Coturnix japonica: one gene and its partners. The protein of the gene in region 1 interacts with the protein of each later gene in a biochemical or structural test. Links are inferred from orthologs where the notes say so. Each region holds a gene or a part of one and is shown on either strand. Other genes may lie near its edges. The genes, in order: RB1, BRF1 and MAPK14.

Region 1 (3,649 bases):
GTATCAACTGCCTTTCCCTCATCTACCAGCCTGGTCACCCAGTCATAGAAGGAGAGATGAGGTTGGTCAAGCATGACCTGCCTTTCATGAACCTGTGCTGGCTGGGCCTGATCCCCTGGATGCCATGCATGTGTCATGTGGTCTCACCCAAATTAGGGGCCATGCTAATCTTCTCTGTATCATTCCAATTTTAGTATATGTTCTACCAAAGCGAGCGCTGTGCTGCTCCAGTCCCCATGGGCTGAGCAGTGCCACACCCCAGAGCACAGCAAATCATTTAATTCCCTTTCAAGAATCCTGGTATTAAGGATGAACATGTCGTGCTCATTTTCTAGCACTTCTGTGCCTCTCTGCCATTTAACAGCACCAAAGATGCTTTGGAGGGTTTTAATTTAATCATTTGTGTTTCAGTGGAGCAAGTACAAAAAAAGTAAGCACTGAAATGACAGTGGTGTTGAACGATGTTTTTGTCTGAGTTGACACAAAGTGTTCTATGCAAGGTACTCAGTGCTGAGGAGTTACTAGAAGAGTAATACTCACTCATTTCTGCAAGCTTCTGTTGGAACTTGGACTCCTGGGGTAGGTGTTTGCTGCAGACAGAAAGCATTTGATTAAAGGGATGTTAAAAACAAACAACAGCAACACACAAATCACAGCTAGTTCATTTCATTGCTACTGCCTCATCTTATAAAAATACAAATTGTGTTTTCCACCACAGCACACTCAAGAGATGTTTCATTTCTCATACTTCTAAAATAATATTTTTTAAGACTGCAGTACAATTTAGCCTTTAGCAGAAATACCTGGGTATGAGGCACTGAATGAATCCTTGCTTTAAACACCAAATGCCCAATTAAGTATTTTGCTACCGTCCCTCATGTAACGTATTTATGGAAGTTCAGAAATAAACAGAATCACAGGATCATAGAATGGTCTGGGTTGAAAAGGGCCACAATGATCATCCAGTTTCAACCCCCTGCTATGTGCAGGGTCACCAACCACCAGACCAGGCTGCCCAGAGCCACATCCAGCCTGGCCTTGAATGCCTGCAGGGATGGGGCATCCACAACCCCTTGGGCAACCTGTTCCAGTGCATCACCACCCTCAAACAGAAGTTAGGATGCATTCTGGAGGCCCCACAAAACCACTCCTGAAGCAGTTGAGCAGAAAGCCACCATCAGTCTCCTACCCTCCATCTGCCTCGTCCTGCCCTTCTATATCGAAGCGCAGCCTCTTCAGTGGCTTAGGGGCATCGCTGGGCTCTGCACCGCGCTTTACGTGGCTCTCACTGTTGCACACCATCTGGTTTATTTTTTGAAACTTTTCAGAAGTCTGAAATCACAAGAAAATAGTTAAAGAGTTAGTGAATAAATCCTGAAACTACTCAAACTTCCCCAATGATCCACTACAACGTTACAATCTAAGAACTCTAACCTTAGAATCATAGAGTGGTTTGGGTTGGAAGGGACCTTTAAGATCATCCAGTTCCAACCCCCTGCTGTAGGCAGGGACACCTCCCTGTAGACCAGGTTGCTCACAGCCCCATCCAGCCTGGCGTTGAATGCTTCCAGGGAGGAACCTCCTTCCACAACAACTGAAATAGAATGCTAAACTTTTTAAAAGCTAAGCCTGGATAACTGAAAGAGGTGAACAGGACATCCCTGTAATCTTTGTGCTTACAAATTCCATAAAATGACTATATTAGATGGGAACCATGAGCCAGCTCTCTGGCTACCAGCAGGCTACGCCGTGGCTCCAACACCACGCATTCAAGAGCAGACAATAAGAACTGTAAAACTCACCCCAAACGTTTCACCAATCGACACCAGAATTCTGCCAAAGGAAGAAAACAAGCATTTCAGTCAAGCCGCCCTCCACAGCAAGACAGAGAAGCATCTATTAACTTGCACAGATTTTCTTAAGGCATTAATGAAGTGTTCTCCTCTTTAACAGTGCAAACCCAGACTGTGCTTTGCTGTATTCAGATTATTCACATTTCCATTAGGACCGGTGAAAGCCTAATTGCCAAATCTGCCATCCCACACCGATACATGAAAAGCTGTGTCTTGGAAGAATGAAAGGTCCACACAATGCAACCCTTATCAACAGGAAATGCTGAGGACCTGATAATCAGCCCTTAATCATTTCTTTTGGATGTTTGCTAATCAAACCCACGCAAGACGTCAACCTAAAACATCCGATAGCATTTCCTAGTTGGAAAAGCCCACTACAGATTTGCACGGGCTTTTCAATACTGAGATGGAAATGCTGTTTAAAGATAACATGATTCATCTGCTGTCATCCTCTGCTAAGAGCCAGTGGCCAGTTTGAATCATAGAATGGCTTAGGTTGGAAGGGACCAGATACAGGACACAAACTTTAACCATAAAAGATAAACTAACCACAGACTATTAATGAACTACACACCACAGTTTGCTAACTTGCTTGCAGTGAACTCCCAGTCACTTCACTTCACTTCACTTCACTTCACTTCACTTCACTTCACTTCACTTCACTTCACTTCACTTCACTTCACTTCACTTCACTTCACTCAGTGAGATGTTTATAACCAACGTACCTGGACCTTGGAGTCATCTTTGTGGGAGATTGAAACCCATCAGAGAATTTGTAAGGGCTCTTCAAGGGTGAGATGTAGATGTTATTGCCTGCAGGGACACGCCGAGGAGAATTGGAGAACTGGTAGGGGCTGCGAGGAATGTGTGGGATAGGTGACAGCGTAGGAGGCTAGAAAATAACAACAGCATCAGAAGGTTTTACTGTCTATAAATTCCTATTCTATTAAATGAACAGTCCTGGATACAACTAACACTTTACCCTGTTGGAGGCATACTGCAGGATGTTTGTCTTCAGTTTCTGCATGAACACTAAGTTGTAGAAGACTATAATGGAGTCGTACTGCTCTTCCCTGATAAGAACACGTTTGAAAGTCTGCAGTGAGAAATAAAAATTAAGTTATTTCATTTGTAAGCACCTTAATAAGGTACTTCATGTTAGAATCAAGCCTGCAACTGTAATAGGCCTCTCCATTGATGTACCTGTTTGACACATGACCATTTTTTTTACTGATGACAGCTGAAGTAAGTAACCTGTCTATTCCCCCTCAATATTCCAGGAAAGTTAAGTAGTTCTTAAAGGAATTTAAGTTGCTTTTGAAAAATCCTATCAGTACTACACCTTAACTTCTCATCTAGTTTCCAAATAGAATAATGAACTGTTACTTGGTATCTTTAATTAATAGGGCAGGAGGAAATTTGCTTTCTGAAAGCTAACAAACAATTGCTGTGAGATATTTACTATTTTGCAAGATGCTTACAGAGACACTTAGTATTAGAACTAATTTTCTACTCTCCAGGGCAAATACATGCAATAATAGAGTGGCCTGGGTTGAAAAGGACCACAAAGATCATCCAGTTTCAACCCCTCTGCTGTGTGTAGGGTCGCCAACCACCAGCCCAGGCTGCCCAGAGCCACATCCAGCCTGGCCTTGAATGCCTGCAGGGATGGGGCATCCACAGCCTCCTTGGGCAACCTGTTCCAGTGCGTCACCACCCTCTGTGTGAAAAACCTCCTCCTAATCTCTAACCTAAATCTCCAGTCTCCCTTTAAAACTATTCCCCTTGTCCTATCA
Region 2 (3,649 bases), on another chromosome or scaffold:
AAAGACTACCAGCCAAAAAAATTAAATAAATAAAATCAAATGTATGTCATAAATCTTTTAACAGTAAGAAATAAAAAACAAATGGTTTGCCAAGTCCTTGATATTATTTAATCAGGAATGCTGCCTACTTCTGGAGTGCAAAATCTTAACCACGTATCTGCATGTATCACCAACCTTCTCTCAAGTGCTCTGCTGCAAAATTCATTGTATCTAAGATCTGCTAATCATCATCAGGAAACTGTTATGCATCTTAAGGACGTACTTTAGGCACTCAAGTGGAAAAATAAACACATTTTATTAGCTGCTTTTGGAAAATACTGATTTGTGTATTTATTTAGAGACCTTTTCAAGTTGCACCACTGTTAAATCAAATATTTATGGCATGATTTTCCAAAGAGTTTAACACCTGTTAAGGGTTTAACTTGCTGGCTTCAACAGGAGCTCCAAGTGCCCAGTGCTGCAGAAAGGCAGACCTCAAAGGGACATGGATGGATGTGCTGAAGCATCTCAGGTGCTCATATTACTGCTAAGTCCTGAAAAGCAATGGGTCCCTCACAAGCCCATACTGCCCATCACAGCATTCCATTCTTGCTAACTGTATCAGAGCTGTGCTTCACTAAAAATTGCAGAAATATGACTCACTATGCCTGTTAAATACAAAAAAACCCATAAGCCAATGCTGTGAGATAATCCTGAATCCATCTTCACTTTCCTTCTATTAGAAAATATGTGTATTTAGGTCATTAAACATGACCTGAAGTAGCAACTTACATAGGAAACTAAAATCCTCACTGAATGAATTGGAAAGCTGTTGGTGTTAGAGAGGTGAGGAGCTGAATGAGGATGAAGCCATTTTGATAAAACACAGAATAAAGAAGGAAGAGCAGAAAAACAAAAGACATTTGTTACATTGCAAAAATCTGTATCCCAGTGACAGTGAAGGTAGACACAATTCTGGCTGAGAAGTTAAAAGCATTGGCCAAAGCCAATGTAATTGCCCAAGTGCAAACCAGTTCATAGTAATAGGTTTGTGTATGGCCATGTCCATACCAGCCCACCCAGCTTTACCTCCACAGGTTTGCTACATCCTCACTCCTTTTGCCAATAGATGAATTCTCACACCTTCTGGTTGCCTTTTTCTCCCCAGAGCTGCTTTATTTAGGAAGGGAAAATATCATATCTGAAGCACCTCCAGCTGCAGCTCCTTCCTCATTCTCACTTCTGACAGCCCTGAGCCCCCTCCCATGAGCTCTGCCCACTCCAGTGCTGCTGCAAGCAGTGCCATCACCAACCCCAGCTCTCCTCTGCTCCCTCCATCCACCCCCTGCCCTTCACTCTCCAAACAACAGTATGAAGACACCATCTAGCATTTCTATATTAAATGTCTGGATTTCCTGGTGGTGTATGGCCTTGGAAGCAAAAAACATCTTTTAGGCAGTAAATTAATATCTAGCAACTAAATAAGAAACCACTATAGAGAGAGATCATCCAAATGATCATCCGACATGATTTCATGAACTGCAGGCTAATAAAACAGTTGAATATTGCAGATAGGACACATCCATCTCCTTCTACACATTACAGCACACCACAAATCTGCCCAGCAAGTCTGAATATTTTGCACATTAAAATAGTAGCTTTCATCACACTATAAAACATTTGCAAATGCAGACCAGAAAACCGACAAGCATATTTACTGTAAAGCTTTATATTTGTGTCACCAATTAACAACAAAAGTTTGGAACAAAACTAAAATAAAAGCTAATCAAAACAGCTTAGCTGTCATAACAGATGGGAACTGTATTTTTCAAATGAAGCAAAAAGCCAAAGCTTTCGAGCATTTAGTGTCATGTCAGCAGATACAGACAACCCAGAAAGGGAGGACACCAAATGTCAGGGATATATGAAGAAAAGCTGTTCGTGGCCCAAAGATTGATGTTTATGAATTTCCATTGATTTTTTTTTTTCTTCTCCTCCAGAATGATTAACTCACACTAAAACAGACCTTTGATACGAGAACTATAAATAAGTTTCCACTGTGACACTGCAGGCAAAATAAATAAAAACAAGAGCCCAGCATTATTTTAGCCTCAGACAAATGTTTCAGTACCTACATTGTCTGGCTCAGAAAGATACATAGACAGTCTCACAGACAGAGATAGAAATGAACAATTGCGGTACCTTTTTCCCACACTGTTTACAGGGCTGGCTATATTCCTACTGGCAATAGATTTTCTTCTTGACAGCTTCTTGGTGTTGGTGCTGTCATCAGTGCTGTCATCCTCTTTCTTTGGTGTGTTACTTCCTTTGCTGTTCAGGTCCCTTAGCACATTATAATTAATTTTACTTGAGATTTTCTTCTGTTCTAACATCTTTTCAATTGCCTCTCCTGCTGTGCTGGCTTGAATTGGCTCCCGCTTCTTTGCAGCTTTCTTTGGCTTAATTAAAATATAAAATTAGTGATGTAGAGACAAACAAAATGGTTGTGTAGCAGAAGGGGGACCTGTAGCTCAGCAGTCCCTGCACAGGTGTTGGCGACTCGGGGACAGGATAGGCGATGGGGCAGAGCCAGGTCAGCACTCTATGGCCTGGGGGAGGACTAAGGCTAAGAAACTTCTTTTTCTACAAGAATTCAGTGTAGGCTTTCCCATTTTTGCCAAATGCCCACGCAGTTTATTACAAATTCTTGACTGCACATTTGTACCGCTGCCAGAAAAGCAACGTGGGCCATTTCTCACATGTGAAAAAAAAAAATGGAGAGAGCTCCCGTTACAGGAACAGGGACCTTGATAACATCACCCAGCATGCAAATAAATTCCTCTGTTAAAACTACCTTCCAAGTGAGAGTCAAGCTGGGGCACTCCCCTAGGCACTGACAGCAGCATTTTGTATGAAGCCTGAAAGCTGCACATCCAACTCTTCCTCAGAATGGAAAGAAGTGGAGAAAATTAGCAATTAGCAGCAGCTTTCTAAGCAATAATGGTGTTGGGGAGGAAGCAGGATGCTGCAGCAACATCACCTGCCCACAGAGAGAGACAACCTCCCTCGGCCAAGCACTGCAAGCCCAGTGCTAACACTATGCAGCAGTTTGATGCTGCACAGACCCAGACAAAGAGAAATGACACCAGGGAACACTTCTGTCTGGGACCAATGCCTAGCTAGGAACACACAAAAAAAGTCTTCTGTTTCTCATTCAACCTTTTCCTTTTCAAAGGAAGTTTTTAACACCAAGCTCCGCAGGAGATTTATTTTTTAATGTATAATAGCCCCTCTGTTTACCTACATGGGTCAAGTGCTACCTTGAAATTGGAAAGCACTATATTAATCAAGTTCTACTCGAGCTGTCAGAAACAATACAGCTCGAGAAAAACTCCTGTGTTGTCAGAACAAAAAGGTGGGTTGTTTGGGCTGCTTCTCAGTGCCAGAGAGTTATAGAGTTCTGAAAATTGCTGGTAGAATTCCACGGCCCTGGAAGGGCGGCATGAATGAGGGACTCTGAAGCATAAAACAGTGTTTCATTGTCTGGTTTTGTTTTTGCTATTGAAATACCTAGGGGAAGTGGGAAACTCTGTCTTTCACATTAGGCAGAAAAGAAAGATACAAGATACACACATTAAAAACGAACATGGATTTTAGTTGCATGTGGAAG
Region 3 (3,749 bases), on another chromosome or scaffold:
CAGAATTCTTGTAATGCAGAAGACTTAGATGAATACGCAAAACTCCGGCAAGAAGGCATTATCACTTCACACAACAGATGTCACTGCAATTGTTAACATGGCTTAGTGATGAATGATCTGAGAGTCCATATAGACATTTCTCGGCATTTTAGCACCAAAGCCCTACTTTAATTTCCACATATTTTCAGTTAAAAAAAAACAAAACAAAAAAACTGAAAAATACCTGAGCTGGCTGTTTGAACATCCTCACCGTGCACCAGAAGACACAAGAACACTTACTCCAACACTAAGGACACGCTCTGGCTGCCTGCATAGAACAACATTCTCCATCCACTGACTGCAAAAACTTCAGTCAGGACTTTCTACCACGGTGCTCCAAGTTGAGATGGACATTTAAAGCAGACTGCAGCAGACACTGCACAGTCTAATTGATTCATTTGCAGGCTTAATTCTTTTGTTAATTTTTCCTCCACTTTCTAGAAAGTCCCCCTTTTTATATCTCTCATCTGGACACCTAAATAAAGTGTATCATTATGTTCTAATCTAACAGTGCTGTAGACATACAGGAGTGTATTTATGCACTCTGTTTAAGGCTGATTAAAGCCCTGCAGTTCGCTGTCCCAAAACAGAGGGCACTTCAAACTCCAAGTCTGAAACAAAGACAGGAACATCTTCCCAGAGCAGGAGAAGGAAGAGGGAAGAATCTCTCTAAAGGAAAAGAGTGGAACAAGCCATGCTAGGAATGCCCTCAATGCCACACATCACTGTCTGGAGCTTTACATTACGAAGTTAATTATACATGCACACTATTACTTGTCTGTCTGAGCAGTACTTCTTCAGAAAGATGTTTTTGGTAGGACACAAAGAAAACCCTGAAAAAAGCTATGCTAAGATGCACATGCCGTACATCTGAAATTGCTTCCAAAGCAGAGCTGATCCATCCAGGCCGAACACAGTTGCACAATCTTTGAAAGTTCGGAGGCAGCATTACAGGAAATTCATGATGCAAAGTCTTCAGTAATTGGTTGTGAAAACAAACATTGGAAGCATTAAGTACACAACAGACCATGGGTAGGTGGAGAACAGAAGAGGAACGGGCTGCATGCACTGCATAAGGCCGGCCTGAATACAGCAGATATGGAGTAAATCCACTTCCTATTGCACCGAGGGAGTTATGTAACCACAGCAGCTAAAGGGGCATTTATCAGCTGGGGCACTGAGCCCTTTCTTTCACCAGAACTAAACCCTTTAATTATTAAAAAACTGACTAAATCAGAAGATATACTGGCTACCCGTGGTACTGTAACTGGTTAGGCTCTGTCTTCTATGACATACAAGCATTTACATACTTGGGACACGGCAGTTTTAAGAAACGTGTTATTTCAGCAGAGGTTCCTGACAGCAGAACAGGAGAGAACTTGACTTCTTTAAAACTGCAGCACACACAAAGCAACTCCTTTTTCTGATAGAGGTCAGCATGCATTGCTCCTTAAAATATAAATGACAGTCATGGTATAAACTTGTACATTATGTTAACGAAAAAAATAGGCACGCCTGCTCCGAGACAGAAGCAGAACAGATGTACAGTTGTTACACACCCGTATGAGAACTCGGATCACACTGACAGAGCAAAAAACATCGTTTAGCAGCCTATGCTGCTATATAAACCTCTAAGCGACTGCTCAAGTCGGAACGTCAATCCAGACACAACCTCATCTTTACGATTAAGCGATGTCATCAGCCCCACTGATTTACATTTCACGATCCAATACATTTTTGCAGAGAAATCCCAAGCGGTGCACGCGATGCAACGAGGCAAGCATTAAAAACCGAGCACAGCTCCGAGCTCTCCTTATTCCCGCACGCTGACCCCAGGCTTTGCTCCTGCAGGCAGCGCACGCCGCGCTCACCGCACACAGCCGCTAAAATGGCTCTTGCAGCCCCTGCCAGGCGTCGGGGACGCAGCAGCTCCCTGCAGCCCCCGGCTCATAATCCATCCTCCGGGTCGAGAAGGAAACTGAGCCAGCAGAGCTCTGCGGAGCTCGGGGCCTTGCCAGCCCGCATCCTCTCCACCCCCACCTCCCAACTGCGAGAAGGCACCGCGAAATATGCCCAAATGAGATCACGCCGGGGGCTGGGACGCGATTATCTTCCCCTGCAAAAATGTCCCGGTGCCACCTGCCCTATGCTGCAATGCTCGGGGCTGCCGGCTGCGGCGGAGGGAGAACGGCGCGGAGCGGCGCCCGGGGCCGAGCGGTGCCCGGGGAAGAACCCGGCCCGGAGTCACCCCCAGCCGCCACTCACCAGACGGAGCCGTAGGCCCCGGACCCGACCGGGGAGAGGTTTTGGTAGCGCTCGGGCACCTCCCACACCGTCTTGTTGAGCTCCTGGCGGTAAAACTTGGGCCGCTCCTGAGACATCTCGGCTGCGGAGCCCACCCCGCCCGGCCCGGCGGGAGGGGGCGGCGGTGCCCGCGGCTGCGGCAGCACCTCCAGCTGCAGCAGCAGAGCTCCCTCCCTCCTTCCCTCCCTCCCTCCTTCCTTCCTTCCTCCTCCCCTCCCTTCTTCCTTCCTCCCTTCTCCCCGCCTCGCTCCTCCCACGCCGCCCCTTCACACCGCCCTCTCCTCACACCGACCGTTGGCCGCCGCCCCGCGCCCCCCCGCCTCACGTTGCCCGGGCCCAGCCCTCGCGCGGGGCGGTTGCTCCTTCCCCGGTCCCCTCCTCTCAGCCGCCGCCTCCCCCTCCCCGCACACACAGCTCTCCCTTTCTCTCTCCCTCCGCACGGCGAGGGGTGGGTTGCCCTGTCAGGTGAGGGAGGGATCGGCCGATAGGGAAGGCCGGGGGGAGGCACTCGGCCGCAGGTAGGACGGCAAAGACGAGGCCCCGGCCCCGTCCCGCCCCCAGCGGAGCAGCTCGGGCTGGGCCGACCCGGCCGCTCCGCCTCCCCGCTCCCCACTGCGGCCCTAGGGTTCAGTCCAGACGTTCTCGCGAGAGTTGAGGCGCCGTGGGCAGAGATGCCCCAATATGGAGGCAATGCGGAGCGGCGCGGAGGGGCTCTCGCGAGAACGGGCCGAGGCGAGAGGCGGGCTCGCTGCGTTCAAGTGTTCCACGAGTGCGGTGTGTGAGGGGGTTGTGCTCACGCAGGGAGATGTCACGGCGCCACAGTCCGTGTGCCGTTTTCGCGAGGCTTTGTCTTGTCACCTTGACGCTGTACTTTAAGCAAAATATGCACATTGATGAGAACGATGACCTAAGGCAGCAGGCCTGGGCTGAACTGCCACAGCCCTCAGTAAGGCCAAGCCCCGTTCCCTCTGGGGGTCTCACAGAGCTTGGGGAGCTGAGCTGGTACAGCTGGAACTCAAGTTTCTTTTTAACTTTTTTTGTTGTGTTACCTTCACTTGAAAAAAGGTGATTTTGCTCAAACAGCAGCTTGTACTGGGTGTGCAGAGCTCATGAACAAAACGTCTCTTAAACTCTGGAAGGCCTTTGTGTATCTCCTTTTTAAAAAGAGGAACAAACCATTCACTAGGAATCGAACGTGCCTGCGGGCTGCCTGCTGCTGTTAGAATGACTGGGCTGTGTGTGCTGGTGGCTGTGCCTGGAGGCTGCCAGGCTCCTCTATTAGAAGTGGTGTATCTCAGTGATGTGAAACGCCAGACTTGTACAAAGGGATCCCAACCATTCAGGAAACATATTTATTTATTTCCCTCCAGGTTTTGTTACTTATACTGCGTTTTGATGACTTTCTG

Evidence for each region.
Region 2: the proteins of RB1 (region 1) and BRF1 form a complex in vitro, tested with the Homo sapiens proteins (2 studies listed by BioGRID). The link is inferred for Coturnix japonica from reciprocal best matches to the Homo sapiens genes RB1 and BRF1.
Region 3: of the proteins of RB1 (region 1) and MAPK14, one has a biochemical effect on the other in vitro, tested with the Homo sapiens proteins (3 studies listed by BioGRID and IntAct). The link is inferred for Coturnix japonica from reciprocal best matches to the Homo sapiens genes RB1 and MAPK14.

What each region holds. Positions count from the first base shown.
Region 1 is NC_029516.1:151,078,285-151,081,933, reverse strand, and holds part of RB1 (retinoblastoma-associated protein), read right to left. Parts: intron 2,950-3,649; coding exon 2,836-2,949; intron 2,746-2,835; coding exon 2,579-2,745; intron 1,834-2,578; coding exon 1,803-1,833; intron 1,333-1,802; coding exon 1,190-1,332; intron 591-1,189; coding exon 541-590; intron 217-540; exon of another isoform or gene 155-216; intron 1-154. UniProt on the Homo sapiens protein: Tumor suppressor that is a key regulator of the G1/S transition of the cell cycle. The hypophosphorylated form binds transcription regulators of the E2F family, preventing transcription of E2F-responsive genes.
Region 2 is NC_029520.1:47,935,608-47,939,256, forward strand, and holds part of BRF1 (transcription factor IIIB 90 kDa subunit), read right to left. Parts: intron 2,439-3,649; coding exon 2,182-2,438; intron 1-2,181.
Region 3 is NC_029541.1:520,585-524,333, reverse strand, and holds the start of MAPK14 (mitogen-activated protein kinase 14), read right to left. Parts: upstream 2,550-3,749; 5' UTR 2,421-2,549; coding exon 2,305-2,420; intron 1-2,304. UniProt on the Homo sapiens protein: Serine/threonine kinase which acts as an essential component of the MAP kinase signal transduction pathway.